Anolis sagrei: one gene and its partners. The protein of the gene in region 4 purifies or fractionates together with the protein of the main gene of each other region. This does not show direct contact. Links are inferred from orthologs where the notes say so. Each region holds a gene or a part of one and is shown on either strand. Other genes may lie near its edges.

What was found.
Region 1: the proteins of ZC3H18 (region 4) and SF3B1 purify together in Homo sapiens (affinity purification with mass spectrometry; 3 studies listed by BioGRID and IntAct, with this or other methods). This does not show direct contact. The link is inferred for Anolis sagrei from reciprocal best matches to the Homo sapiens genes ZC3H18 and SF3B1.
Region 2: the proteins of ZC3H18 (region 4) and CSNK2A2 purify together in Homo sapiens (affinity purification with mass spectrometry; 3 studies listed by BioGRID and IntAct, with this or other methods). This does not show direct contact. The link is inferred for Anolis sagrei from reciprocal best matches to the Homo sapiens genes ZC3H18 and CSNK2A2.
Region 3: the proteins of ZC3H18 (region 4) and SRRM2 purify together in Homo sapiens (affinity purification with mass spectrometry; 3 studies listed by BioGRID and IntAct, with this or other methods). This does not show direct contact. The link is inferred for Anolis sagrei from reciprocal best matches to the Homo sapiens genes ZC3H18 and SRRM2.

What each region holds. Positions count from the first base shown.
Region 1 is NC_090021.1:178,747,668-178,754,798, reverse strand, and holds the start of SF3B1 (splicing factor 3B subunit 1), read right to left. Parts: upstream 3,016-7,131; 5' UTR 2,931-3,015; coding exon 2,903-2,930; intron 1-2,902. UniProt on the Homo sapiens protein: Component of the 17S U2 SnRNP complex of the spliceosome, a large ribonucleoprotein complex that removes introns from transcribed pre-mRNAs.
Region 2 is NC_090028.1:1,403,535-1,410,568, forward strand, and holds the start of CSNK2A2 (casein kinase II subunit alpha'), read right to left. Parts: upstream 3,024-7,034; 5' UTR 2,729-3,023; coding exon 2,625-2,728; intron 1-2,624. Other genes in the region: CFAP263 (cilia- and flagella-associated protein 263), read left to right, coding at 4,849-5,021.
Region 3 is NC_090026.1:23,851,142-23,859,148, reverse strand, and holds the start of SRRM2 (serine/arginine repetitive matrix protein 2), read right to left. Parts: upstream 3,022-8,007; 5' UTR 2,493-3,021; exon of another isoform or gene 2,439-2,492; intron 1-2,438. UniProt on the Homo sapiens protein: Required for pre-mRNA splicing as component of the spliceosome. As a component of the minor spliceosome, involved in the splicing of U12-type introns in pre-mRNAs.
Region 4 is NC_090028.1:26,528,271-26,535,263, reverse strand, and holds the start of ZC3H18 (zinc finger CCCH domain-containing protein 18), read right to left. Parts: upstream 3,014-6,993; 5' UTR 2,807-3,013; intron 1,045-2,806; exon of another isoform or gene 1,025-1,044; intron 1-1,024.

The DNA of each region.
Region 1 (7,131 bases), on a different chromosome or scaffold from region 4:
TGCATAGCATATAATATTCTTCCTGCATGAAAGGTAGAATCCAATGCTTTATTTTAACAAGAATATTCAATCTTGAATATTTGTGTACTATACTGCTCATTCAAACTCATACTAATCAGTCAGCCACAGGAAAAAAATTGCTAATTTTTACTGTAATTCTCGAATTACATTTGTTGTTTAATGCTCATCAACAGATGAATTCTCAATGTGTTCTGAGTTCAAAACATACTGCTCAAAACACAGTGTCTAAACTGAAAAACAAACCCAAACTTACTCATATTTTGTGAACACATAGATATTGAAATGGATAGGCACTTCTTGACAGACAATAATTACAATATGAATGCAAACAATTACATGAAATTGGAGGGGTAGCATGTTCCTTATGGGAGTAGTTATTTCCCCATTTATATCAATACCTCTGAGGATCTCTGCCATAGAAGCAGGAAAAATTGAGAGAATGGTACTGGAACATGACCATACAGCCTGAAAAACTCACAGCAACCTAAATGGAGTAATTATTTCCCCATCTATATAAATGGATTAGTCATTTCCTCATTTGTATCAATGGAAAAATCATGGGCCAAAATCGGAATTGACTCAATGATTTGGTGGCGCTTACATAAAGGCCCCTTCTACACTACTATATAAAATCCAAATTATCTGCTTTGAACTGAATTATGTGGCAGTATAGACTCATATAATCCAGAATATCAAAGCAGATAATCCTATGGCCCCTTCCAAACAACTGTATAAAATCCACATTGAAATGGATTATAAGGCAGTGTGGACTCAGATAATCCATTCTGGATTATCTGCCTTTATATTCTGTGCTATATGGCTGTGTGGATGGGCCCTAACACAGATGGCCGCTTGGGGAGCAGTGACTCACTTTCCAGTTGGGACTAATAACTGAATTTAGGTCATGGATTCCACAAGCAAATCCTCCTTAAAGCTTGCAGAGAGACAGCTCAGGACCCTTCCACACAATCATTACAACAAATCACCTCCAATATCTGCTTCGAACTGTGTTATCTGAGTCCACACTCCCATATAATCCAGTTAAATGTGAAAACATGGCTGTTCGACGTGATTTTGAAGAATGAATAACAAATCCCCATACCATGACCGTCCCAGTACAAATTTGTCCTTTTGATGCGCTTTATCACATCCCCTAGTGAGAATTAAACCCCATCGTTGTCCCATCTGAATCTCCGACCAGATACACTACTCTATTTACCTATCTCACCCAGGGTTTTATAATTCTATCCCTTTCATCTGGCCCAGCCCATTGTGTTTATTTTATTTCATATCCTGTGTTTACCCTACTGTATTATTTTATTTTGCATTTTATTTTATTTGATGTTATTAGTTTTGCTGTTTGTATTTTCTTTGCTTTATTATAATTGTCGGGCTTGGCCTCATGTTATCCACCCTGAGTTCCCTTGGGGAGATGGTGGCGGGGTATAAATAAAGATTATTATTATTATTATTATTATTATTCAATGTGGATATTATGCACATGTGTGGAAGGGGCCTCAGAACACTGTGGGCCCTTCTACAGTCTAGAATGAAAGCTGTTTGACGTGACTTTAACTGCTGCGGCTAAATGCTATGGAATTCTGGGGGTTGTGTTTTGGCGAGGCACGAGCACTCTTTGCCAGGAGGATTTGTAACATTACAACTCCTGGGATCCCAGTGCATTGAGACATGGCAAGTCTCTTCCACACAGACGCCTAAACCCCCACATTATCTGCTTTGAACTGGAATATGAGGCAGTGTGGACTCAGGGCACTTCCACATTGCCATATAGCTCAGAATATGAAGGCAGAAAATCCCACAATATCTGCTTTGAACTGGATTGAGTCTACACTGCCATATAATCCAGTTCAATGTGGATTTTATGCAGCTGTGTGGAAGGGGGCAGACATTTTAGGGTCCTTCCAAACAACCATATGGCCCAGAATATCAAGGCAGAAAATCCCACAATATTTGCTTTGAACTGGGTTATTTGAGTCTACATTGCCATATAATCCAGTTCAAAGTGGATTTTATGCAGCTGTGTGGAAGGGGCCAGATATCTCAGGGTCCTTCCACACAACCATATGGCCCAGAATATCAAGGCAGAAAATCCCACAATATTTGCTTTGAACTGGGTTAATTGAGTCTACATTGCCATATAATCCAGTTCAAAGTGGATTTTATGCAGCTGTGTGGAAGGGGCCAGATATCTCAGTGTCCTTCCACACAACCATATGGCCCAGAATATCAAGGCAGAAAATCCCACAATATCTACTTTGATCAGGGTTATTTGAGTCCACATTCTGATAATGTGGGATTTTCTGCTAGATATTCTGGGATATAGCACTGTGTGGAAGGGCCTCCTGTTGAAAGTGGAGTCAAACGGAGTTAATTCTACGATGAGCCTTCCTCCTCCAACCTGCATTTTAACAGGCCTATTTTTAAATTAAAGAACGACCCACAAGGAGGCACAAAGGCTGCCTCCCAGGAAGAAAACGTAGAAAAGGATGTTCCCCTTCCCATATGTTCACAATTTTGCGTGCGCAAGGGAGGAAGAGGCCACGACTGCTTCCTCGAGGCCTGGCTTGAAGAACACGCGGGCCTCGATTTCCTCAACCCCGCTCCTCTGCGCTGCCCTCCCGGCCACTCGGGTTCACGCGAAATAGTTGGAGCGGAGGGGGAAGGAGCGGCGAGGCCTTGAGACACCTCAGCGACGACGCCATTACGCGAAGGCCTGGCCCGCTCAGGCGCCCTTTCCCTTCAGCTTCCTGGAGCCAAGGAGCGCCGCCCTTCGAGAGGGAAAAACAGCGCCTTCAGACTTCGAGGCCTAAGCGGCCGGGGTTTTAAGCCGCAAACGGAAACCACCCTCTTTTTCTCTTACCTTCGTGCGTCTTGGCGATCTTCGCCATTTTGTGGAGCTCGAAGAAGCGCAGCCAGCGAGATGGAGGGGGGGGGGCGGCGCGCGCTTGTTCTCTCGACGTCCACTTCCGCTTTCGGGGGCGGAAGGAGGGAGTTGGGAGGGGGAGATGGGAGGAGTGGCCGCGCGAGAGCCCTTTGCGCAGGCGCACTGGAACGGCAAGGGGAAGGCGGGGAAACCGAGAGGGACGCCGCAGCTTCAGCTTTTATACAGCGCAGGAGTAAGCGGGGCTTCCCTTCCGAGTCCATCATAAGACCCCTTATTTTGTGGGATCGCGTTCACAGAAATAAGGCGCCTTTATACTGGAGAATTAATGCAGTTTGACACTACTTTCAACTGCTATGAAGTAACTCTAAAAGGGTTGCTTTGGCAGAGAAGGCTAAAGGCCTTGTAAAACTGCAGCTCTTATAGTATTCCCACACAACCATATAACCCAGAATACCAAGGCAGAAAAACCCACAATATCTGCTTTGAACTGGGTTATCAGACTCCACACTCAATGTGGGGTTCTCTGCCTTGATATTCTGGGATATAAGGCTGTGTGGAAGGGCCCTGAGTCCACACTGCCACATAACCCAGTTTAATGTGGATTTTATACTCCACAGTTAATTGTAGCCATTTTAGATGAGTATCAGGCTCCTTCTACGCAGGTGGGAAGTAGCAGCCAATAGTGAAAGGACCAAGGCAGAGACATCTCCAGCTCATCCCTTGTTTGGGTATCAGCCAGCACGTAGAATCATAGAATCAAAGAGTTGGAAGAGACCTCATGGGCCATCCAGTCCAATCCCCTGCCAAGAAGCAGGAATATTGCATTCAAATCACCCCGACTTAAATCAAGAAATAGTTTTCTAAGATCTACAGAGACACTCGCTGGAACACCTCAGCAAGTGAGAGTCCAAAACTGGCAGGCTCAAACCCAGAGCCTCAATGATACCAAATGAGAGACTCCCCTCTGGGCACACAGAAGACTGGGCGACTTGGAAGGCGCTGAACAGACCGCTCTGGCACCACGAGATGCAGAGCCAACCTTAAGAAATGGGGCTACAAAGTGGAATCCACAACATGCGAGTGTGGAGAAGAGCAAACCATTGACCACCTGCTGCAATGCAACCTGAGCCCTGCCACATGCACAATGGAGGACCTTCTTGTAGCAACACCAGAGGCACTCCCAAGTGGCCAGATACTGGTCAAAGGACATTTAATCAACTACCAAGCTTGCAAACTCTGTTTTGTCTGTTTGTTAAAAATTTGTTTAAAATGTAATCCAATTGTCTGGTTGCTACTGACATGATAAATAAATACACAGGTGTATAAATTCCTCATTGAACTGGATTATATGACAGTGTGGATTCAGATAACCCAGTTCAAAACGGCTATTGTGGATTATCTCCCTTGATATTCTGGTTACATGTGAATTAAAAGGGGTCTTGTGGCATATTTGGGGCTAAATAAGAGAGAAAAATGGTAGCAGCTGCACTGCAGAATTATATTATCAGTATATGTAGATCCCATCTTTACTCTTAAAAAGAGACTCAATGCAGCAAACCATTCTAAAAATTCAATATACAAATCAGAACCTAAACTATATAAACACTAGAACAGAAATATACAGGCAGTCCCCAAGTTGTTACCAAGATAGGTTCTGTAGGTTTGTTCTTAAGCTGAATTTGTTTGTTAGCTGGAACAGGTACATTTTAAAAGTGTAACTCCAGCTCTCTCCCCCCCCCCCTCCCCTCTCTCTCTATAAATTATTTAGCTTTGGATAGCATAGGAAAGGGTTTACACCGCCATGGTGTTTGTTTTGCTGTCAGTGGCCCCGTTCAGAGGATTTCACCTCACTTTCTGTCCCTATGATAATTGGATTTTGAAAAAAAATTGACTTCTGGAAATAAGATTGCTGATAAAGCATCACTGGAGACACCTTTTTTCACATGATGACTCTTTCAGAAGTTAATTTCCCTTCCAAGGGAAAGATTTCTCTCACTTCTTGTTGGCTCACCCCTGTTCTTAACTAGGAGTCATTTGTAAGTTGCATGTTTGCAGCTCGAGGACTGACTGTGGTTAAATCTATTTTTTTTTAAAAAAAATTAAAAACTGTTCAAAATACCTATCAAATACCTATTAAACGCCACACAACACCCCCGGCTCATACCTACTTGAATATAAAGTGTTTAGCTTGCTTCCATTCTAGCCTCCCTGGGAAACAAACTTAAAACTCCTAAATCCCAAGCACTGGGCCTAGCTGTCAGACGACTATAATTATGCAGTGGGAAAACAGTCCATCTGCTTCCTCAGACTCTGTGTATGTGACTTGCCATAGAAATGCAAAGGTGGTGGGTATGGTGATGATAAGTGGCAAGTTATGTATTAGCAGTAGATGGTCATTGAGCAAGCATGGACAAACTTTAGCTCTCCAGCTGTTAGGAGTTGTGGAAGTTGAAGTCCAAAACACCTGGAGGGACGAAGTTTGTCCGTGTCATTGAGAGACAGATATAGGAGAGAGGTGTTGCATAAATACAAGATGAGTGGATAACCCTAGGAAGATGGAAGAAGTTACTGGGATGCAGTGTGATGCTGGCTCTGTTTAACCCACTGTCAGGGGATTGGAGTTTGTTAATTTATTTGGTTAAATACACAGACTAATAGGGCTCATGCCATAACCTGGGACAGTTTTGAGATGGAAAAGTGCCACAAAGACAGCAGTCTTAACCCCCTTTTTTTGTTACAGTTTGAAGGGTGCTTCAGTATTCTGTCATATTTTTGTATGTGTTTTTTTCTTACCACCCAGGGAATATTTTCTTCATGGAAATATGAAGAAGCCAGTTTCGAATAAAAACCTAGTTTGTTTCTGGGTTTTTTTAAAATGCATTTGAATGAAATTATCACAACTTGTTGAGAATGGACAGATATGGAATTTAGACTGGAGTAAAATGAGAGGGAAAGGCCTGGTGAGTTGTGACAACCATAATAACAAAAGTGAAGCTAAGACATAGGACAGAGGCATTTATTTAATCTTGGCCAAGATGATGCTTGTAAACTCCTGCTCCAAAAAATTACAAGCATAAGAGAGCATGTGCTCTGCACAACAGTTTTTATACACAATGTTCATTATTCCAGTTTGAACCATCCCTCTTCTGTTTCTGGTTGGCCGAGCTCTGTTGATGTGGCTGGAAATCCCCTCCCAGCCAGATAGGGAAAGTAGTATGGACAGAGAGGAGTCTGTAGGAAGTGCTAGCATTCCATGCCAGCAGGGGTCCAGGGTGGGGATGATGGGATTGTGAGAACAATGGAAGCTGATCTCTGTAGTCTTGGCTATTTAGCAAAGATGCCTATTGGGGAGGCTGCAGTTGGGTAGTTGAGAGCTATTGTTATCTTTTGTTATATTGGGTTGTTGTAGGCTTTTCGGGCTGTATGGCCATGTTCAGCGCTGCCTCCAGAAAATCCTGCAAATTTCTTGGGAAGACAGGCGGACAAATGTCAGCGTGCTGGAAGAAGCAAAGACCACCAGCATTGAAGTGATGGTCCTCTGCCATCAGCTCCACTGGACCGGCCATGTTGTCTGGATGCCCGACCATTGTCTCTCAAAGCAGTTGCTCTACTCCAAACTCAAGAATATCAAATGAAATGTTGGAGGACAGGAAAAGAGATTTAAAGATGGGCTCAAAGCCAACCTTAAAAATTCTGGCATAGACTCTGAGAACTGGGAAACCCTGGCCCTTGAGTGCTCCAGCTCGAGGTCAGCTGTGATCAGCAGTGCTGTAGAATCTGAAGAGGCACGAATGGAGGGCAAAAGAGAGAAACATGCTAAGAGGAAGGCGCATCAAGCCAACCCCGACCGACACCGCCTTCCACCTGGAAACCAATGCCCTCTCTGCGGGAGAAGATGCAGATCAAGAGTACGGCTCCATAGTCACTTACAGATCCACCAGAAAACTGATCCTGGAAGACTATCCTACTCGGCCAACGAGGGATCACCTAACATCTAACAACAACATGGCCATGTTCTAGAAGCCTTCTCTCCTGACGTTTCATCTTCATCTATGGCAGGCATCCTCAGAGGTTGTGAGGTCTGATTATTTGCCTGAGGCTGAGAAGCATTCCGGCTTGAGTCAAACAGTTTACTTTCTTATATTTACCGTAGTATATTTAAGAATAAGGCAGAATAAAAGTACAGCTTATACATTTCAGACTTG
Region 2 (7,034 bases), about 25 Mb from region 4:
AGGTATCGTTATGTAGATACGGGTATGTACATAGAAATAGATACAGATTGATTGATAGATATAGATATAGATCAGACCTGGGCCACCTTGGGCCCTCCCTCCAGGTGTTTTGGACTTCACCTCGTACTGGCTTTTAGGAATGGTGGGAGTTGGGAGTCCAAAACACCTGGAGGCAGGGCCCAAATTGGCCCAGGCCTGAGATAGATAGATATGGTCAGATAGCGATACAGATATAGTTATAGCTATAGTTACATAGAAACAGACAAATAGATATAGATAAAGAAATAGTTATAGCTAGAGATGTAGGTCCAGATATAATTACAGCTATACTTATATAGATACACATACATAGTTATAGATAGAGGTGTAGATCAGGGCTGGGCCAACTTGGGCCCTCCCTCAGGTGTTTTGGTCTTCAACTCCTACTGGCTGTTAGGAATGATGGGAGTTGGAGTCCTAAACACCTGGAGGGAGGGAGGGAGGGCCCAAATTGGCCCAGGCCTGAGATAGATATAGATATATAGATACAGATAGAGCTATAGCCTGGCCCTCCCACCCACCCCCCAGGGGATTTGGAGTTCAACTCCCATCATTCCTAAGAGGTGGAGTCCAAAACCACTGGAGGGAGGGAGGCCTGAGAGAGATAGAGTTGTATCCCAGGCCTGGCCCACCCTCCCTCCAGGGGTTTTGGACTCCAACTCCCATCATTATATAGATACAGATACAAATAGATAGAGATGCAGATCAGGCGTGGGCCACCTTGGGCCCTCCGTCCCTTCAGGTGATTTGGAGTTCAACTCCCACCATTCCTAACAGGTGCAGGCATCGGAGTCCAAACCACCCAGAGATGGTGGCAGGTTATAAATAAATATTATTATTATTATTATTATTATTATTATTATTATTATATACAGATAGCTAGAGATGTAGATCAGGCCTGGGTCACCTTCGGCCCTCCCTCAGGTGTTTTGCTCTTCAACTCCTATCGCTGTTAGGAATGGTGGGAGTTGGAGTCCAAACCAGCAGGAAGGACGGAGGGCCCAAGATGGCCCAGGCCTCAGATAGATAACTATAGTCAGAGATATAGATACAGGCACACAGAGATAGATAAATATAGATGTAGATCAGTACTGGGCCACCTTGAGCCCTCCCTCCCTATCTCCAGGTGTTTTGGACTTCAACTCCCACCATTCCTAAAAAGTGGGAGTTGTAGTCCAAACTAGAGGGAGGGACGGAGGGTCCAAGATGGCCCAGGCCTGAGATATAGTCAGATATATACAGATATATGTTGTTGTTGTTTGTATATACAAATATAGCTATAGTTTTGGACTTCAACTCCCACCATTCCTAAAAAGTGGGAGTTGTAGTCCAAACTAGCAGGAGGGAGGGAGGGCCAAAGTGGGCCCAAACCTGAGATAGATATAGATAGATTGTTGTTCTTGTTTGTATATACAGATATAGCTATAGTTTTGGACTTCAACTCCCACCATTCCTAAAAAGTGGGAGTTGTAGTCCAACCACCAGGAGGGAAGGTGGGCCCAAGATGGCCCAGGCCTGAGATAGATAGATAGATATAGACAGATATATACAGATATTTGTTGTTGTTGTTGTTTGTATATACAGATATAGCTATAGTTTTGGACACCAACTCCCACCATTCCTAAAAAGTGGGATTTGTAGTCCAAACCACCAGGAGGGAGGGCCCAAGATGGCCCAGGATTGAGATATAGTCAGATATATACAGATATTTGTTGTTGTTTGTATATACAGATATAGTTTTGGACTTCAACTCCCACCATTCCTAAAAAGTGTCCCAGGCCTGATAGATATAGACAGATAGATACAGATATTTGTTGTTGTTTGTATATACAGATATAGCTGTAGTTTTGGACTTCAGCACCCACCATTCCTAAAAAGTGGGAGTTGTAGTCCAGGCCCGAGATAGAGATATCCAGATATTTGTTGTTGTTTGTATATATAGATGTACCTATTGTGATATAGATACAGGTACACAGAGAGAGATACCAATGGAGATGCAGCTCAGGCCTGGCGCTCCCACCCACCCACCCACCCTTCAGGTGATTTGGACTTCAACTCCCATCATTCCTAAGTCCAAAACCACTGGAGGGAGGGAGGTCTGAGATAGACACAGACAGAAATATCCAGATATTTGTTATTGTTTGTATATACAGATATAGCTATTGTGATATAGATACAGGTACATAGAGAGAGATACCAATGGAGATGCAGCTCAGGCCTGGCCCTCCCACCCACCCACCTTTCAGGTGATTTGGAGTTCAACTCCCATCATTCCTAAGAGGTTGGAGTCCAAAACCACTGGAGGGAGGGAGGGAGGCCTGAAATAGATAGATAGTTGTATCCCAGGCCTGGCCCACCTTGAGCCCTCCCCCCCCCCCTCCAGGGGGTTTGGACTCCAACTCCCATCATTCCTCACAGCCTCAGGCCCTTTCCTTTTCCCCCTCAGCCGCTTAAGCGGCTGAGGGGGAAAAGGAAGGGGCCTGAGGCTGTGAGGAATGATAGGAGTTGTAGTCCAAACCCCCTGGAAGGCGGGAGGAAGGGCCCAAGGTGGCCTAGGCCTGGGATGGATGGCGTGGTTCGCTTACCCCCAGGCGGGGAGGTGGGCCTCGTAGTCCCAGTACTCTCGGCTGCGGAGGCTGTTGACCTCGGCGTAGACGCGGGCGCGGCTCCCTGCGGCGGGGCCCGGCATGGCGGCCGAGGAGGAGGAGGCGGAGGCGGCGGAAGGCCTGAGGAGGAAGGGCCGGGCGTGCGAGGCGTGCGAGGCGGGCGCCCACCTGAGGAAGGCCCGGAGCGGGAACGGGAGCGGACCGGCCGCGGGGAAGAGCGGCGCCAGGGCCAGGCCCGAGGGGGGAAGCGAGGAGGAGGAGGAGGAGGCGAAGGCGGCGTGGCGCCCACCGGCCCCGAGAAAGTCCGCCGGCACAGGCCGGGGAGGGACGGGGAAGGGCTTCCGGCGCGCAGGCGCAACAGAGGCCCAGCCCACAGGAGAGGAAGTCGCGTCACGGAGACAGGCAGGAAGAGGCGGGGCCGGAAATGAGATAGTCACGTGACAAGTCCGGGAAAGCGGATACTACTCCCAATCAGGGCTAGAGAGGGTCACGTGAAGAAGAGGGCGGGGCCAAAGGGAGTGACGTACTCAAGGGGGCGGGGCCTGAAGCGGCCTCTTGTAATCAGGGAGTGACGTAGGCAACGGGGCGGGGCCTGAAGCAGCCTCTCTGATGACAAGAGGCCGCTTCTGGCCCCGCCTCTTTGCCTACGCCACTCCCTGATTAGTGGCGTAGGCGAAGAGGCGGGGCCAGAAGCGGCCTCTTGTCATCAGGGAGTGACGTAGCCAAAGGGGTGGGGCCAGAGACGGTGTCTTGTAATCAGGGAGTGGCGTAGCTAAAGGGGGCGTGGCCTGAAGCGGCCTCTTGTCATCAGGGAGAGACGTAGAGAAAGGGGCGGGGCCAGAAGCGGCCTCTTGTCATCAGGGAGTGACGTAGCAAAAGGGGTGGGGCCAGAGACGGTGTCTTGTAATCAGGGAGTGGCGTAGCTAAAGGGGGCGTGGCCTGAAGCGGCCTCTTGTAAACAGGGAGTGACGTAGGGCAAAGGGGCGGGGCCGGTAGCGGACCCTTGTAATCAGAGTGACGTAAAAAAGAGGGCGGGGCTAGAAACGGCTTCTTGTAGTCAAGGAGTGACGTAGGCAAGGGGCGGGGCCAGAAGCAGGCCCTTGTAATCAGGGAGGGGACAAAAGAGAAGGACTCCAATCCAAAGCTAGGGAAAGTCACGTGATGGGGTAGGCGTGGCCGGTTGCGAGAGAAGCTCCTCCTTATTAAAATGCACATAAGAGGGCGTGGCTAGAAGTGAGGCAAAGCGGGCTTTAGACTAAGGGATCACGTGATGGAGTAGGCGGGGCCATAAGTCAGGAAAGCTCCTCCTCATTAATAATTCACATTGAGAGGGCGCGGCTAGAAATGAGGCAAAGCAGCGTTTTCTACTTAAAGGGAGTCACGTGACAGAATAGGCGTGGCCTGTTGCGAGGGAAGCTCCCCCTCCTTATTAAAATTCACTTGGGAGGGCGTGGCGAGAACTGAGGAAAGTTGGCCTTTCTACTTAATAGCGTCACGTGACGGTGTAGGCGTGGCCGATTGCGAGGGAAGCCCCTCCTCCTTATTAAAATTCGCATGCGAGGGCGTGGCTAGAAGTGAGGCAAAGCAGCCTTTTCTACTGAAGGGAGTCCCGTGACAGAGTAGGCGGGGCCATAGCTGAGGGAAGCTCCTCCTTATTAAAAATGTACATGAGTGGGCGTGGCTAGAAGTGAGGCAAAGCGGCCTATCTAGTGAAGGGAGTCACGTGACGGAGTGGGCGGGGCCTTAAGTGAAGGAAGCCCCTCCTCCTTATTAAAATTTACGCGAGAGGGCGTGGCTAGAAGTGAGGAAAAGCCGACTTTAGCCTAAGAGAGTCACGTGACAGAGTAGCCGGGGCCATAAGTGAGGAAAAGCGACCTTCCTACTGAAGGGAATCACGTGACGGAGTAGGCGGGGCCATAAGTAAAGGAAACTCCTGCTTATTAAAATTCACTTGAGGGGGCGTGGCCAGAAGTGAGGAAAAGCGGCCTTTCTACTGAAGGGAGTCACGTGACAGAGTAGGCGTGGCCATAGCTGAGGGAAAGCTGAGGCTGCCACTCCCATCCGGGTCCTAGGGGAAATAGGCGGGGCCAGAAGAGAAGGGAAGTGAGGGGGCGTGGCCGGAAGTGAGGGAGTTCGGCGCCTCAGCAACCACAACAACAGCAACCACCACCACCCCAAGAAGGCCATTCTCCTCCTCGTCGCCATGGATTCGTCCTCGTCTCCGGTCTCTCTGCGCGGCCTGGTCGTGATGGCGGACGAGGACTCGGAGCGGGAGAGCGTGCAGGCCGGGGAGTCGCGGGAACTGGGCGAGGAGCTCCGCCGCGACCTCAGCCAGATCTCCCTCGTCAGCCTCGCCGCCGCCATCCAGCAGACCAGGTCCGCCCACTCGGGGAAGACACCCCAGGACAAGCCTCCTTTCTTAGGCCTTTGGCCTGCCACTCCCGCCATCCCTCACCGCCTCACGACACTTCCTTTCCCCCCTCAGCCGAATAAACAACCACATGATATTCCCCCTTCCCCGGTGCCACCCCCACTAGTGATCATAATAATAATAATAAACTTTCTTTGTATACAGCTCTATCTCCCTGAGGGATACTCAGGCCGGTTTCCAAGTAACATCCCCAAAACATACAGCGTAAACATATATTTATAATATTATTGCTGTGGCCCTCATGGGGGTTCTGTGTGGGAGGTTTGGCCAAATTCCATCCTTGGTGGGGTTCAGAATGCTCTTTGATTGTAGGTGAACTATAAATCCCAGCAACTACAACTCCCAAATGTCAAGATTCTATTTTCTCCAAACTCCATCTGTGTTCACATTTGGGCATATGGAGTATTTGAGTATTTATGCAAAATTTGGTCCAGATCCATCATTTTTGAGTTCACAGTGATCTTTTATTATTATTATTAAACTTTATTTGTACCCCGCTAGCATCTCCCAAAGGACTCAATGCAGCTTACACAGGCCAAGGCCTCAACAACAACAACAAACAATAACAATACGATGCAAAGCAAATTAAAAACATAAGCAATAACGAAAACAAAACATTACACAATAAAACCAGGGCCGGGCCAGTGATGGGTACAGATTAAAAAGTGCTGGGTGTGAAAGGTGATATATTGGGATTCTGGGCAAGGGCAATGTGCAGAGAGTCTTAAACTCTAATAAAGTGCTTCTGGGACATAGTGCTGGAGGTTATCCTTTTCTGGGAAGGCACATCAGAATCTCTGGATGTAGGTGAACTACAACTCCAAAACCAAAGGACACTACACACCAATCCCTTCCAGTATTTTCTGTTGGTCATGGGAGAGCTGTGTGCCAAGTTTGGTTCAATTCCATCATTGGTGGGGTTCAGAATGCTCTTTGATTGTAGGTGGACTATTGTTGTCTGAGTAGCATAATCCTCCAGGGTGTGTCCGTAGGTGACTATGGAGCCCTATTCTTGATCTGCATCTTCTCCCGCAGTGAGGGCATCGGTTTCCAGGTAGAAGGAGGTCCCAGTTGGGCTTGGCTTGACACGCCTTCCTCTTGGCACGTTTCTCTCTTTCACCCTCCATTCGTTCCTCTTTAAATTCTGCAGCACTGCTGGTCACAGCTGACCTCCAGCTGGAGCACTCATGGTCCAAGGCTTCCCAGTTCTCAGTGTCTATGCCAGAGTTTTGAAGGTTGGCTTTGAGCCCATCTTTAAATCTCTTTTCCTGTCCTCCAACATTCCATTTTCACCTTGTAAAGAACGTATCAATGCCACCAAAAATATGTAAAGAAGTCTTTATCTCACCGAATGGCACCAAAAATGTAAGAAAGTTCCTAGAATGTTAAATTAAACTGCCACCAATAAGTTTAGAGACGCTGGTCTTAAAGTCTCTGTTTATCCCTATTTACGTTGTGAGGTAACTTTGGTAGAGTGGAATGCACCGAACATAAAATCAATGGAGGAGGCAGGTTTAAAATACAAAGAGAACAAGTTTATTATTAACAAAGCGTAATTGTTGCAATATTGAGATGTTGAACTTGACACATGCTTGATGGTTACAATATGGCTTGGTCGAGATACATTCAGGCTTCTGATGTTACAATCTTATAAACTCCTTCTTCAGTGAAGTGCTTTATTATTTCAGTGTTCCCTATTGTGAATATTCACACTGTTTGTCCTATACCGGATCAAACCACTGATCTCCAGTCTTCCACTACTGGCGATCCTAAAACCCCCTCTGTTAGATTCTTTTTAACTCAAGCAATCTAACGAGGTTTCCCTTCAGCTCCCTTGCTGAAGAAATATTCACAAATACTAAGAACTAACTGAATTTACACCGCTTCACACCACAGAGCCCTAACTGACTCTGCCCTCTTCTCAGGGTCTCATCCTCCTGACTGAAAATTAACTGTCA
Region 3 (8,007 bases), on a different chromosome or scaffold from region 4:
AAGCCTCCTTACTCTTTGAAAGGATATATCTACTGGCCTGATGTTTGGTTGCAACCTTCCCCTCCCCTTAAGCCTCCTGATTCTTTGACAGAATACGCCTACTGTCCTGATATTGTCTTTACTCTAAGGGCCTTCCACACAGCCCTATATCCCAGAATATCAAGGCAGAAAATTCCACTTTATCTGAGTGTGGATCAGATAACCCAGTTCAGAGCAGATATTGTGAGATTTTCCACCTTGATATTCTGGGATACATGGCTATGTGGAAGGGCCCTGAGAAGGAATATTTCTCGTCTTGTTGTATTTACATTCAAGAAGGAACATGGCTCCCATCTTGATGTTTAGTTGCAACTTTCCCCTCCCCCTAACCTCCTTACGCTAAGAAGAAACATGTCTTCCATCTTCATGTTTGGCTGCTACCTTCTGTTCCCCTTAAACCTCCTTACTCTAAGAAGGAACATGTCTATTGTTTTCATATTGCATTTACTCTAAGACAGTGGTTCTCAACCTGGGGTCCCCAGATGTTTTTGGCCTTCAAATCCCAGAAATCCTAACAGCTGGTAAACTGGCTGGGAGTTCTGGAAGTTGTAGGCCAAAAACATCTGGGAACCCCAGGATGAGAACCACTGCTCTAAGAAGTATCATGTCTCCCATCTTGATGCTTTCTTTGGAACCTTCCCTTAAGCCTCCTGATTCTTTGAAGGACTACATCTTCTGTCTTGATGCTGCATTTAGACTAAGAAAGAACGAAAACATCTCTTGTCCTGATAGTGCCTTTACTCTAAGAAGGAATATGTTTCCTGTCTTGATACTGTATTTATTCTAAGAAGGAACATGGCTCCCATCTTGATGCTTGGTTGCAATCCTCCCCTCCCTTTAAGCCTCCTTACTCCGAGAAGGAATAGGTCTATTGTCTTGATGTTTGACTGCAACCTTCCCCTTTCCTTAAGCCTCCTTACTCGGAGAAGAAATATGTTCACTTTCTTGGTATTGTATTTACTCTAAGAAGGATCATGTCTCCCATCTCGATGGTTGGTTGCAACCTTCCCCTCCCCTTAAGCCTCCTGATTCTTTGAAGAAATACATCTCCTGACTTGATACTGGATTTAGGCTAAGAAGGAATGTGTCTACTGTCCTGATATTGTGTTTACCCTAAGAAGGAATACGTCTCCTGTCTTGATACTGGATTTAGGCTAAAAAGGAATATGTCTCATGTCCTGATATTGTATTTACTCTAAGAAGGAATACATCTCCTGTCTTGATACTGGATTTAAGCTAAGAAGAAATATGTCTCCTGTCATGATATTGTATTTACTCTAGGAAGGAATAGGTTTCCTGTCCTGATATTGTATTTACTCTAAAAAGGAATCTCTCCTGTCATGATATTGTATTTGCTCTAGGAATGAATATGCCTCCTGTCCTGATATTGTATTTACTCTGGGAATGAGTATGTCTCCTGTCCTGATACTGTATTTACTCTAGGAAGGAATAGGTCTCCTGTCCTGATACTGTATTTACTCTAGGAATGAATATGTCTCCTGTCCTGATATTGTATTTACTCTAGGAATGAATATGACTCTTGTCCCGATACTGTATTTAATCTAGGAATGAATATGTCTCCTGTCCTGATACTGTATTTACTCTGGGAATGAATATGTCTCCTGTCCTGATACTGTATTTACTCTGGGAATGAATATGTCTCCTGTGCTGATATTGTATTTACTCTAAGAAGGAATATGCCTCCTGTCCTGCTATTGTATTTACTCTAAGAAGGAATATGTCTCCTGTGCTGATATTGTTTTTACTCTAGGAAGGAATACATCTCCTGTCTTGATACTGGATTTAACCTAAGAAGGAATATGTCTCCTGTGCTGATATTGTATTTACTCTAAGAAGGAATACATCTCCTGTCTTGATACTGTATTTAAGCAAAGAAGAAATCTGTCTCCTGTTGTGATATTGTATTTGCTCTAGGAATGAATATGCGTCCCGTCCTGATATTGTATTTACTCTAGGAAGGAATATGTCTCCTGTCCCAATACTGTATTTATTCTAGGAAGGCATAGGTCTCCTGTTGTGATATTGTATTTACTCTAAAAAGGAATATGCCTCCTCTCCTGATATTGTATTTACTCTAAGAAGAAATATGTCTCCTGCCTTGATATTTGGTTACAACCCCCCCCCCCTCCCGTTTTAAGCTTCGTGCTGCCTTCTACCTTCGTATTGACTTGCAGATGCCCTCCCTCCGTGGGCCTAAAAGGCTCCCTTATCTTCCCACCCACACCTTCTCCGGCCTGGCTAAAACCACCCCATTTCAACCCCGCTCCCCTCGGCGAAAACAACCCCACCGCGCAGGTCCCTCCAGCTCAAGGCCTGGCCAAAAAAAAAGCCCGCCACTCGGCGTCCTCGCCGCCCCCCCGCCCCAATCCCCACCCTACCAATCGCAGCTGGGAAGACCGAGGCCTCCTCGGCGGAGTAGGCCTCTCCCTCACCCAGCCTGCCTCCCTCGCGCAGCCCAAGGGAGGCCGCGGCCTGCGCCACTGGCTCGCGCGACTACCTCATCCGACGCGGCAGCACGAAGCCGCGGCGGCGCAGGGTGACGGGGAAAGGGGGAGGGCCGCCTGCGCTGTCCCCTCACGGCCGTCCAGTTCGCTCCCGTCTGCCCCTTCTCCTCCCCCGTTGGATCATGGGAAACGTAGTCCTTCCCCTCAGGAAGCCGGGCCCGCGGACGCTCACAGGAAGGGCGGGAAAGACTACGAGTCCCGGCAGGCCTCGCGGGCAGCGCGAAGGTCGCCCGCCATTTTGTCAAAGCGCTCCGAGGAAGGGTTGCCCTGAGGAAGGAGGGGGGGGGGCTTTCCCTCGCTTCTCGCCCCCGCTTCCAGTCCCGTTCTCCCCAAACGCCGAATGATCCGCGGTGTAAATCGGCAAGCACCAAGCCTCGCGAGGGGAACGAAGAGGAGAGAAACCCTTGCTCCCGTCGGCCACCGCGCGGCCCCTAATTAGAGTCAGCGGGGGTGGGACGCGGAGATCGCAAGGGGAGATCTCGCGAGATTTGCTGAGGGACGGCTGCGGCGTGCGTTTCTCAATTCGCCTCGGAGCACTTTTCCGTGATGCATGCCGGGAATAGTAGTCTTGCCAATGCCATTGGCCGTATCAAGCGCTTGGGGCTACTTGCAAACAGACTACAATTCCCAGCAGGCACCGGGTTAGAGGCGTCCCCATCCTTTCACTCCGGCAAAGTAACAAGCGGGGAGTTCTTTCCTAGAAGAACTTCCTGTCAAGAATAATAGGGAAGTTTAGCTAACGGCAGCCTTTTCTACACTACCATATAATCCCTAAAATCTGCTTTGATCTGGATTATATAAGTCCACACTGACATATAATCCCTGATATGTGTTTTGATTGGGATTATATGAGTCTACACTGCCATATAATCCCTGATATGTGTTTTGATTCGGATTATATGAGTCTACACTGCCATATAATCCCTGATATGTGTTCTGATTGGGATTATATGAGTCTACACTGCCATACAAATCCTGATATGTGTTTTGATTGGGATTATATGAGTCTACACTGCCATATAATCCCTAATATGTGTTTTGATTGGGATTATATGAGTCTACACTGCCATATAATCTCTAATATGTGTTTTGATTGGGATTATATGAGTCTACACTGCCATATAATCCAGTTCAACAGATAATCTGGGTTTTATGGCAGTGTAGAAGGGGCCTCCTATAAACCAGTTAAGATCAGATAATCTGGATTTTGTATGGCAGTATAGAAGGGACCTCATATAATCCAGTTCAAAACAGATAATATGGATTATTTTAATCTGGATTATATGACAAGATACAGACAGATACCAACACCCCTTCTATACTGCCATATAAAATCTAGTTTATCTGATTTGAACAAGATTATATGGCAGTATAGACTCATAATCCATTTCAAAAGCAGGTAATGAGGACTATCTGCTTTGATAATCTGGATTATATAATAAGTAACGATTAAAATAACTGATTTAAAATGAAAATAGTAGGATTAATTAATAAGTAAAGGTAAACTGTGCAGAAAGCTAGTATTAAACTGGGGATAATTACATCTTCCAAAGAAACTCTTCCTGCTAAACTACTGCAGCATATATGACAAATAATAATAATAATAATAATAATGGGTTATTATTACAGCCCGAAAAACTTAAAGCAGCCCAATGATTCCGGCCATGAAAGCCTTCAATGACACAATAATAATAATAATAATAATAATAATAATAATAAATTTTATTTGTTACTGGGCTCTCCTCATGGCTCCTAAAATAGAAGGGCTCAAAGAAAACAACAACTATCAAGCATTAAATAATTACCAGAAACTGGATTAAAATCAAAATGTAAAAGCAGGATTAAATACTAAGTTAATTAAAATTGAGAAGAAAAATCTACAGCCAAACCTCCCTTCCACTGAGCTATTGCAGAACAAGAAAAACAAAGAAGGGGTCAAAAAGGATCAGAAATAAAGTGAAGGGGAAAGACTCTCTTTAAAAGCACATGCCTGGCTCCAAAATAATTTAAGGCAGGCCTCCCTTAGCTGTGTTTTTGAATATATTCTTTCCCCTTTCCTTGATGAAAATGAGGCTATAAATCTTTTGACATAATCATGAAGAGGCATGACTCACAAGAAAAGGCAATAACGCTAGATAAAGAGGAGGGGAGGGCCTGTGTTACAGGTGGATTGACTCAGGCCCCACACAGCTGTATAAAATCCACATTGGACTGGATTATATGGCAGTGTGGACTCAGATACCAGTTCAAAGCATATATTGTGGACTATCTGCCTTGATATTCTGGGTTATGTGACTGTGTGGATGGGCTCTCAGTCAAGGAAGCTGAAGCGCTGAATATGCAAAACCAGAGCAGTGCTGTTATGTATGACTCAGTGAAAGCTATGATTCATAAGATACTCATAAGACTGACTTGATGGCACATAGCAACAATAACAAGGGTTCCCAGAAACCCCGCCCCTTCAGAACAAACCCTCCCAAAATATTATGTATTACAATAAAGACACTCCAAACAGTGTATTATTGTTTGGACAACCCCCTTTCCCCAACCTGCAACTAGTATAGGGTTTTCATCTCTAAAGAAAAGGCGAGAACTGAGTCAAAGAGGAGAGATGACATTGTCACTCTGCTAATCAGAAAGTCCTGGAATTTTAACCTTAAAGACCCTGAGACCAGTACAACACTGTCCTCAGGCCACTTTTCCTGTAAGTGTATCAATATAATGTCATATTTTAAAGTTGTTATTTTCATAAATGGCTTTTCATTTATTTATATTGCATTATCAGTCATCATCATGGGCGATCAGTCCCTGCCAAGTATGATTGTCTTCCAGAGGTAGAGTCTTGGCGGTCAGTCCTAGCCTGGAACCACATGGTCTTTCACATTGAGGACATAAATTTCCAGATGACAAGGGTTTGCTTCATGTCTTCCTCTTAGAATGATGATTCTCCACCATCAACTTCACTGGACTAGCCATGTTGTCCCAATTGTTGTTGTTCATTCGTTCAGTCGTCTCCGACTCTTCGTGACCTCATGGACCAGCCTACGCCAGAGCTCCCTGTCGGCCGTTACCACCCCCAGCTCCCTCAAGGTCAGTCCAGTCACTTCAAGGATGCCATCCATCCATCTTGCCCTTGGTCGGCCCCTCTTCCTTTTGCCTTCCACTTTCCCCAGCATAATTGTCTTCTCTAGGCTTTCCTGTCTCCTCATGATGTGGCCAAAGTACTTCAGCTTTGTCTCTAGTATCCTTCCCTCCAGTGAGCAGTCGGGCTTTATTTCCTGGAGGATGGACTGGTTGGATCTTCTCGCAGTCCAAGGCACTCTCAGCACTTTCCTCCAACACCACAGCTCAAAAGCATCGATCTTCCTTCGCTCAGCCTTCCCTAAGGTCCAGCTCTCACATCCGTAGGTGACTACAGGGAATACCATGGCTTTGACTAGGCGGATCTTTGTTGCAAGTCTGATGTCTCTACTCTTCACTATTTTATCGAGACTGGACATTGCTCTCCTCCCAAGAAGTAAGCGTCTTCTGATTTCCTGGCTACAGTCTGCATCTGCAGTAATCTTTGCACCTAGAAATACAAAGTCTGTCACAGCCTCCACGGTTTCTCCCTCTATTTTCCAGTTGTCAATCATTCTTGTTGCCATAATCTTGGTTTTTTTGACGTTTAGCTGCAACCCGGCTTTTGCGCTTTCTTCTTTCACCTTGATTAGAAGGCTTCTCAGCTCCTCCTTGCTTTCGGCCATCAGAGTGGTGTCATCTGCATATCTGAGGTTGTTAATGTTTCTTCCAGCAATTTTCACCCCAGCTTTGCATTCATCCAGCCCCGCACATCGCATGATGTGTTCTGCATACAAGTTAAAAAGGTTGGGTGAAAGTATGCAGCCTTGCCGTACGCCTTTCCCAATCTTGAACCAGTCTGTTGTTCCGTGGTCAGTTCTGACTGTTGCTACTTGGTCCTTGTACAGATTCCTCAGGAGAGAGACAAGGTGGCTTGGGATGCCCATCCCACCAAGAACTTGCCACAATTTATTATGATCCACACAGTCAAAGGCTTTAGAATAGTCAATGAAGCAGAAGTAGATGTTTTTCTGAAACTCCCTGCCTTTCTCCATTATCCAGCGGATATTGGCAATCTGGTCTCTCGTTCCTCTGCCTTTTCTAAACCCAGCTTGAACATCTGGCAACTCTCGCTCCATGTATTGCTGGAGTCTTCCTTGCAGGATCTTGAGCATTACCTTACTGGCATGAGAAATAAGGGCCACTGTACGGAAGTTTGAGCAGTCTTTCGCATTTCCCTTTTTTGGTATGGGGATATAAGTTGATTTTTTCCAGTCTGATGGCCATTCTTGTGTTTTCCATATTTGCTGGCAAATGGCATGCATCACCTTGACAGCATCATCTTTTAAGATTTTAAACAGTTCAGCTGGGATCCCATCATCTCCTGCTGCCTTGTTGTTAGCAATGCTTCTTAAGGCCCATTCAACCTCACTCCTCAGGATGTCTGGTTCTAATTCGTTCACCACACCGTCAAAGCTATCCTCGATATTGTTATCCTTCCTATACAGATCTTCTGTATAGTCTCGCCACCTTCTCTTGATCTCTTCAGCTTCTGTTAGGTCCCTGCCATCTTTGTTTCTTATCATACCAATTTTTGCCTGAAATTTACCTCCAATGTTTCTAATTTTCTGGAAGAGGTCTCTTGTCCTTCCTATTCTGTTGTCTTCTTCCACTTCCATGCAATTACATGTAATTGTCCCAATTACTGTCTCCCAAAGCAGTTACTTTATTTCAAACTTAGGAAAATGGAATGTTGGTGAATAACAAAATAGGTTTAAAGATGGGCCTAAAGCTAACAATATGTGGCAAAAGAATGTACCATCAGTATGCAATGCATGATGCAAGAGGAAAAGTAATTGTTCTGAAAATGTTACAGGATACCAATACAGGTTGAATATTATTATTATTATTATTATTATTATTATTAACTTTATTTGTACCCCGCTAGCATCTCCCGAAGGACTCGATGCGGCTTACAAAGGCCAAGGCCTCAAAATATAACATAACAATACACAACCTAAAGCAAATTAAAAACAGTTTAAGCAATATTAAACAACAAGCAATAAACAATATCCCTTATCTGGAACTCTGAAATCCTCTAAGTTCAAATATTGTTCACATGAGTGGCTTGGATAGTGACACCTTTGTTCAATGTACATAAACTTCCTTTCATACAAACATTTTTTAATACTGTGACTAATAACTTTCAGGCAATATGTACATGAAACATAAGTGAATTTCATGTTTAGACTGGGTCCAAGCTTGAAGATATTTCCATATGTACATGTACGTGTTCCAAAATCTGCAAAAAGTCCAAATATTTCTGGCCCCAAGTATTTCAGATAACTCAACTGGTACTGCAATTGTGTCCTGAGCTACTGAG
Region 4 (6,993 bases):
CTTTTCTCTGGAGATTTTTCAAGCAGAGTCCATCTGTTAGGATTGTGTCTTTCCTGCTTGGCAGAATGGGGTTGGATTGGATGGCATTTCAGGGTACCTGGTTACCAGGGGAATATAAACTGCCTCGGAGTGTGAGGAAATCTCCTTATCTGGAGGTTTTTAAGCAGAGGCTGGGTGGTCCTTGGGGTCCCTTCCAGCTCTAGGATCCTATGATAGATAGAGCTCTAAACACACATACATCCAGGTGTTGGACTGGATGGCCCTTGGGGTTCCTTACAGCTCTATGATCCTATGATAAATAGAAAGACAGATACATCAATAGATCTCTATACACACATACATAACGAGGTAATTGTTCTATGATTGATTGATTCACTGACAGATCTTTATACACACAGACATCAGGGGTTGGACCAGGGATCCCCTTGCAGCTTTAGAATCCTATGATAGATAGATAAAATGAACTCTAAATACACATTCAGGGGCTGCATTGGATGACCCTTGGGATCCCTTCCAACTCAATGATTCTATGATTGATATAAAGATATCTAAAAACACATACATTCAGGGGTTGGACTGGATGGCCCTTGGGGTCCCTTAGAGCTTTAGGATCGTATGATAAATAGATAGGCCTCTATACACACATACAGAGATTGCACTGGGGGCACTTGGGGTCCCTTCCAGCTCTAGAATCCTATGATAGATAAAAAGAACAAACCCTAAAATTCATCCAGGGGTTTGACTGGGCAGCCCTAGGGGTCCCTTCCAGCTCTAGTATCCTATGATAGACAGAAAGATAGATTCATAGATAAATCTCTATACACACATACATCCAGGGATTGGACAGGATAGCCCTTGGGGTCCCTTCCAGCTCTAGGATCCTATGATAGATAGATAGATAGAGCTCTAAGCACACATACATCCAGGGGTTGGACTGGATGGCCCTTGGGGTTCCTTAAAGCTCTAGGATCCTGATAAATAGAGAGATAGATACATCAATAGATCTCTATACACAAATACATACAGGGGTAACAATTCTATGGTTGATTGATTGATAGATCTCTATACACACAGACATCAGGGGTTAGACCAGGTAGTCCTTGGGGTCCCTTCCAGCTCTAGGATCCTATGATAGATAGATAGATTCATAGATAGATCTCTATACACACATATATACAGGGGTAACGATTCTATGGTTGACTGATTGATTGATCTCGATACACACATACATCCAGGGGTTGGACTGGATGGCTCTTTCAGCTCTAGAATCTTATGATGGATAGAAAGATAAGACACATAGACAGATCGCTAGACACATAAATACAGGGGTTGGACTGGGTAGCACTTATAGCTTTAGAATCCCATGATTGATTGACTGACTGATAGATAGATAAAAAGAACTCTAAACACACACCCAAGGTCTGGACTGGATGGCCCTTGAGGCCGCTTACAGCTCTAGAATCTTATGATAGATAGATAGACAGATCTCTAGACACATACATACCAAGGTTGGACTGGGTAGCACTTGGGGGTCCCTTACAGCTTTAGAATCCCATGATTGATTGACTGACTGATAGATAGATAAAAAGAACTCTAAACACACATCCAGGATCTGGCCTGGATGGCCCTTGAGGCCGCTTACAGCTCTAGAATCTTATGATAGATAGATAGACAGATCTCTAGACACATACATACCAAGGTTGGACTGGGTAGCACTTGGGGGTCCCTTACAGCTTTAGAATCCCATGATTGATTGACTGACTGATAGATAGATAAAAAGAACTCTAAACACACATCCAGGATCTGGCCTGGATGGCCCTTGAGGCCGCTTACAGCTCTAGAATCTTATGATAGATAGATAGACAGATCTCTAGACACATACATACCAAGGTTGGACTGGGTAGCACTTGGGGGTCCCTTACAGCTTTAGAATCCCATGATTGATTGACTGATAGATAAAAAGAACTCTAAACACACATCCAGGATCTGGCCTGGATGACCCTTGGGGCCCCTTTCAGCTCTAGAATCTTATGACAGATAGAAAGATAGAGACATAGACAGATCTCTAGACACATACATACTGGGGTTGGACTGGGTAACACTTGGGGGTCCCTTACAGCTTTAGAATCCCATGACTGATTGACTGACTGAAAAAGAGAACTCTAAACACACATCCAGGGTCTGGACTGGACGGCCCTTGGGGCCCCTTTCAGCTCTAAGATCCTATGATAGATAGAAAGATAGAGACATAGACAGATCTCTAGACACATACATTGATTGACTGACTGACTGAAAAAGAGAACTCTAAACACACATCCAGGGTCTGGACTGGGTAGCACTTGGGGGTCCCTTACAGCTTTAGAATCCCATGACTGATTGACTGATAGATAGGTAGGTAGATAAAAAGAACTCTAAACACACATCCAGGGGCTGGGCTGGATGGCCCTTGGGGCCCCTTCCAGCTCTAGGAGCCTATGATAGATAGAAAGATAGATAGATCTCTATACATTAAGCATGGGCAAACTTCGGCCTGGTGTTTTGGACTCCAACTCCCTTACATTGTGGGAGTTGGGAGTCCAAAACACCTTGAGGGCCAAAGTTTGTTCATGCCCTGCTATACACATACACATCCCGGGGTTGAATTGGGTGTCCCTTCCAGCTCGAGGATCCTATGATAGAGAGATAAACAGATAGACAGACAGAGCACTAACATACGGCTCCAAAGGCCCGGCAGAATTCGTTCCCGAGAGAGAGAGAGAGATATCTCTGTGCGGGCTGAGTAGGCCTCAGGCCTCGCGCTCCTCACCTGGCCCGGCGGGGAGGGGTCGGGGAGCGGCAGCCGCCAAAGGCAGGCAGGCGGGTGGGCGGGCGGGAAGGGGCAGGCGGGGAGAAGCCGTTCCCTGAAGCGGCGCGGCAATGGCCTCCCTACTGGCGGCGAAGCAGGGCGGCCATGGCGCAACGTCATCCGGGCGCGACGGCAACGGCGAGCGCGAGGCGGCTCTAGGAAAAAAGGAGGCGGAAAAGTGGGCGTGGTCCTCGATGCGCGTGCGCAGTAGAGGACAGCCGGGAGGCGGAGCGACGGGAGGCGTCGTTAGCCAATAAGAAAGCTGAATTCTAAATAGAGCTGAGGGAGGAAAAAAAAAAAGATTGAGACTACCAAATTGCGCCTGCGCAGAAAAAAGGGCGGGGAATCAAAGTGGAGTCGTGATAAGGCAGGCCCGGTAGCCAATCGGAGCCAAGGAAAGGGAGGTGGGCGGAGCAATGGAGGAAAGTGGGTAGGCAATAAGGGAGGAAAGAAGGGACTGAGTTGATGCGAAGTGCGCGTGAGCAAAAAGGCAAGCGGGGAAAGGGCCCGGATAGCCAATCAGAGCCGGGGAAAGAGAGAGAGGCGGGGCGACGGGGGAAAGTGGGTAGCCAATGAGGGAGCTGCATTCTCAATGGAGAAGTAAAAGGAGGAGTAGCATCAATAATAATAATAATAATAATAATAATAATAATACTTTTTGTATCTTAAAGAATTAAAATGCAATAAAAACACAAACTGTGAATAATATTTTTATTTCTTAATTAAAATGCAACAAAACAAACATGAATATTAGCACCTTTTATATATATATATATATAATAATACTTTTTGTTTTTTAAGTAAAATGCAATAAAAATACAAACTGAATAATAATAATTTTATATCTTAATTAAAATGCAATAAAACAAACATGAATATTAGCACTATTATAGATATATATAATACTTTTTGTTTCTTAAGTAAAATGCAATAAAAACAAACTGAATAATAATATTTTTTTAATTTTCTTAATTAAAATGCAATAAAACAAACATGAATATCAGCACCTTTATTATATATATAATAATAATACTTTTTGTTTCTTAAAGAATTAAAATGCAATAAAAACACAAACTGAATAATATTTTTATTAATTAAAATGCAACAAGACAAACATGAATATTAGCACTTTTTATTATATATATAATAATACATTTTGTTTCTTAAGTAAAATGCAATAAAAACACAAATTGTGAATAATAATATGTTTTATTTCTTAATTAAAATACAATAAAACAAACATGAATATTAGCACCTTTATTATATATATATATATATATTAATAATACTTTTTGTTTCTTAAACAATTAAAATGCAATAAAAACACAAACTGTGAATAATATTTGTATTAATTAAAATGCAATAAAACAAACATGAATATTAGCACCTTTATTTCTTAAAAAGTAATACAACAAAAAGTATAAATAATCATACCTTTTGTTTCTTAACAGTTGAAATTCAATCAAACACAAACTATGAATAATAATAAATTTATTTCTTAAGAATTTAAATGCAATGCAAACATAAAAAGTAGTGATAGCTTTTATTTCGTGAGAATTAAAATGCAATACATTTTTAAAGTACAAGGTTTATCTGGAAAACAAGATTACAAGGCACGTAGCTCTCGCAGGGAATTTTCTCGGGAAGTTGGCATCACTTCCATGTAGCTAATGAGCAGTGCCAGTTGTCAGCAGCTCATCGACTGGCGTTTTGGTGAAGGTTAGAGATGTGCACCCTCATTCTGTTTCCCTCCAAGTGCAAAGTTCGCACTGTAATATGCTACCTAAATGCTAAGGGCAAGAACGCCACTGTGATTCATGGTGAAATCATTTCAGTTTATGGAGAGGACATAATGTCAAGATAGCAAGTGACAAAATGGGTATGGTGTTGTAGTTCAGCCTGTGATTGTGTCTGATGGTCATGACAGAAATGGAAATGAAGGGCTTTCTGGGCCTGGGTCTGTCAGCAATGGGGATGAGGGTTTGCTTGGGCTTGAGTTAACCCCAGACGAGAGGCCCAAGATGTCCCATGAAGATTCACAAGGTCACATTCCTGGGAGAGGCCTTCAGCAATCTTTCTCAGAGGGCCCATCCAGACAAGACCTTTATTGCAGGAACTCCTGCAATAAAGGAAGGGCTGTCCAGACAATGTTCTGGACAGTCCCACATTATTTATTTATTTCTCAGCCCTTCTGATTGGCCCAGACGCACCGCAGCAGCCCTGTGATTGTCCCACGCGCTCAGAGGGCAGCTGAGCCTCCTCCCAGCTGTTGTGGCATCAGCCAAGTGGAGGGCGGGGAGTGGGAGATTTGAACCACACAACTCTGCATTTCTATAAAAGTGGCATTTATTTGTGTAACCACATGATTAGCTTGGCGAATGATTGCAGCTCTGCATCCTTTTCAGCCGAATCGCTAAATATTGAGTATTTGTGCCAAGTTTGGTCATTGTTTAAGTCCACAGTGCTCTCTGGATATAGTTGAACTACAACTCCAACACTCAAGGTCAATGCCCACCAAACCCTTCCAGTAGTTTCTGTTGCTCATGGGAGAACTGTGTGCCAAGTTTGGTTCAATTCCATCATTGGTGGAGTTCAGAATGCTCTTTGATTGCAGGTGAACTATAAATCCCAGCAATTACAACTCCCAAATGACAAAATCAATTTTTTTAGAGAAGGACATACATTGGGTTGCTAGATGTCTTGTGTCCAAATTTGGTGTCAATTCGTCCAGTGGTTTTTGAGTTCTCTTAATCTCACAAACGAACACTACATTTTTATTTATATAGATTTAAATACAACAAAAACAAACAGTAGTATTACCAATATTAATAATACATTTGATTTCTTAATTTGATTTCTTAGAAATGAAAATGCAATAGAAACACAGAAACTTAATTCAATAGCAATGATCCATGACAGTTCGGCGTCAAACTGCATTAATTCTGCAGTGTGGATGTACCCATGAAGGTTTGGAAAGTTCATTAGGGAGTTGGCTTTCCAAGATATCTAATGATATCTATGCAAGGATGGCAAAATCCAGATAAAATCAGAAATGTGGTCCATTTCGGATAAAGGATGCTCAACCGTACAGGGTGGCTTTTGTGTTTGCAAACGCAAGAGGGAGCTCAGACCCAACAAATAATACAAAGTAAGCTGAATAAATGGTTTGCTTCCAACTTCAAGGAGCCAAATCATCAAACAGAATGAAACTCTGGCACAAATCAAAGCTGGCTTGCTAGGCGTGAGCTCCAACTGGGCCCCTTCTCTCCAAAATGAGCATTTTAATAAGCCCTTTATGATAATCCTAGAGAAGAAGAAGAAGGCCAAACGTCAAGGGATTTTAAACATGAAATGATAGCAGAAAGGTTGGAAAGTATTATCATTGCAATATATACCAATTGCTATGTAGAATTAATGCAGTTTGGCATCACCTTAACTGCCCTGGCTCAATGCTATGGAATCCTGGGAGTTACAGTTTGTATTTATTTATTTATTTATTTATTTATTTTATATACCGCTTTTCTCAGCCCTCAGGTGACTCAAAGCGGTGAACAACATCAATACAAAACATCACGAGACAAGCATAGGGCAATTAAGAACAATTGTAACATAAATCATTTAACATCCGTATAACAATAATTAGTGCCTCAACAGTAAAATCAGAATCCAGTCTCATCATCCATTATTCCGTATTCCTATGTTCAATTACACTGTTTAATCAAATGCTTATTCGAACAGCCAGGTCTTCACTTTCCTCCAAAACGCCAGCAGGGAGGGAGCCGATCTGATATCTGCAGGCAGGGCGTTCCACAGCCGAGGGGCCACCACTGAGAAGGCCCTGTCTCTCGTCCCCGCCAAGCGTGCCTGTGATGCAGGCGGGACCGAGAGCAGGGCCTCCCCAGATGATCTTAGTACCCTTGGACCTTGCAAAACTACAACTCCCAGGATCGCATAGCATTGAGCCAAGGCAGATAAAGTAATGCTGAACTGCATTCATTCAACAATGTAGATACGCCCTTGGTAAAGCATCTCCATAGTATTGTTATTGGTATTTATATCTCACTTTTTCTCTCTCAAGCAAAGCTCAAGGCAGCTAACATGGTGCGTTCTGCACTGGAGAATTAATGCAGTTTGGCATCACTTTAACT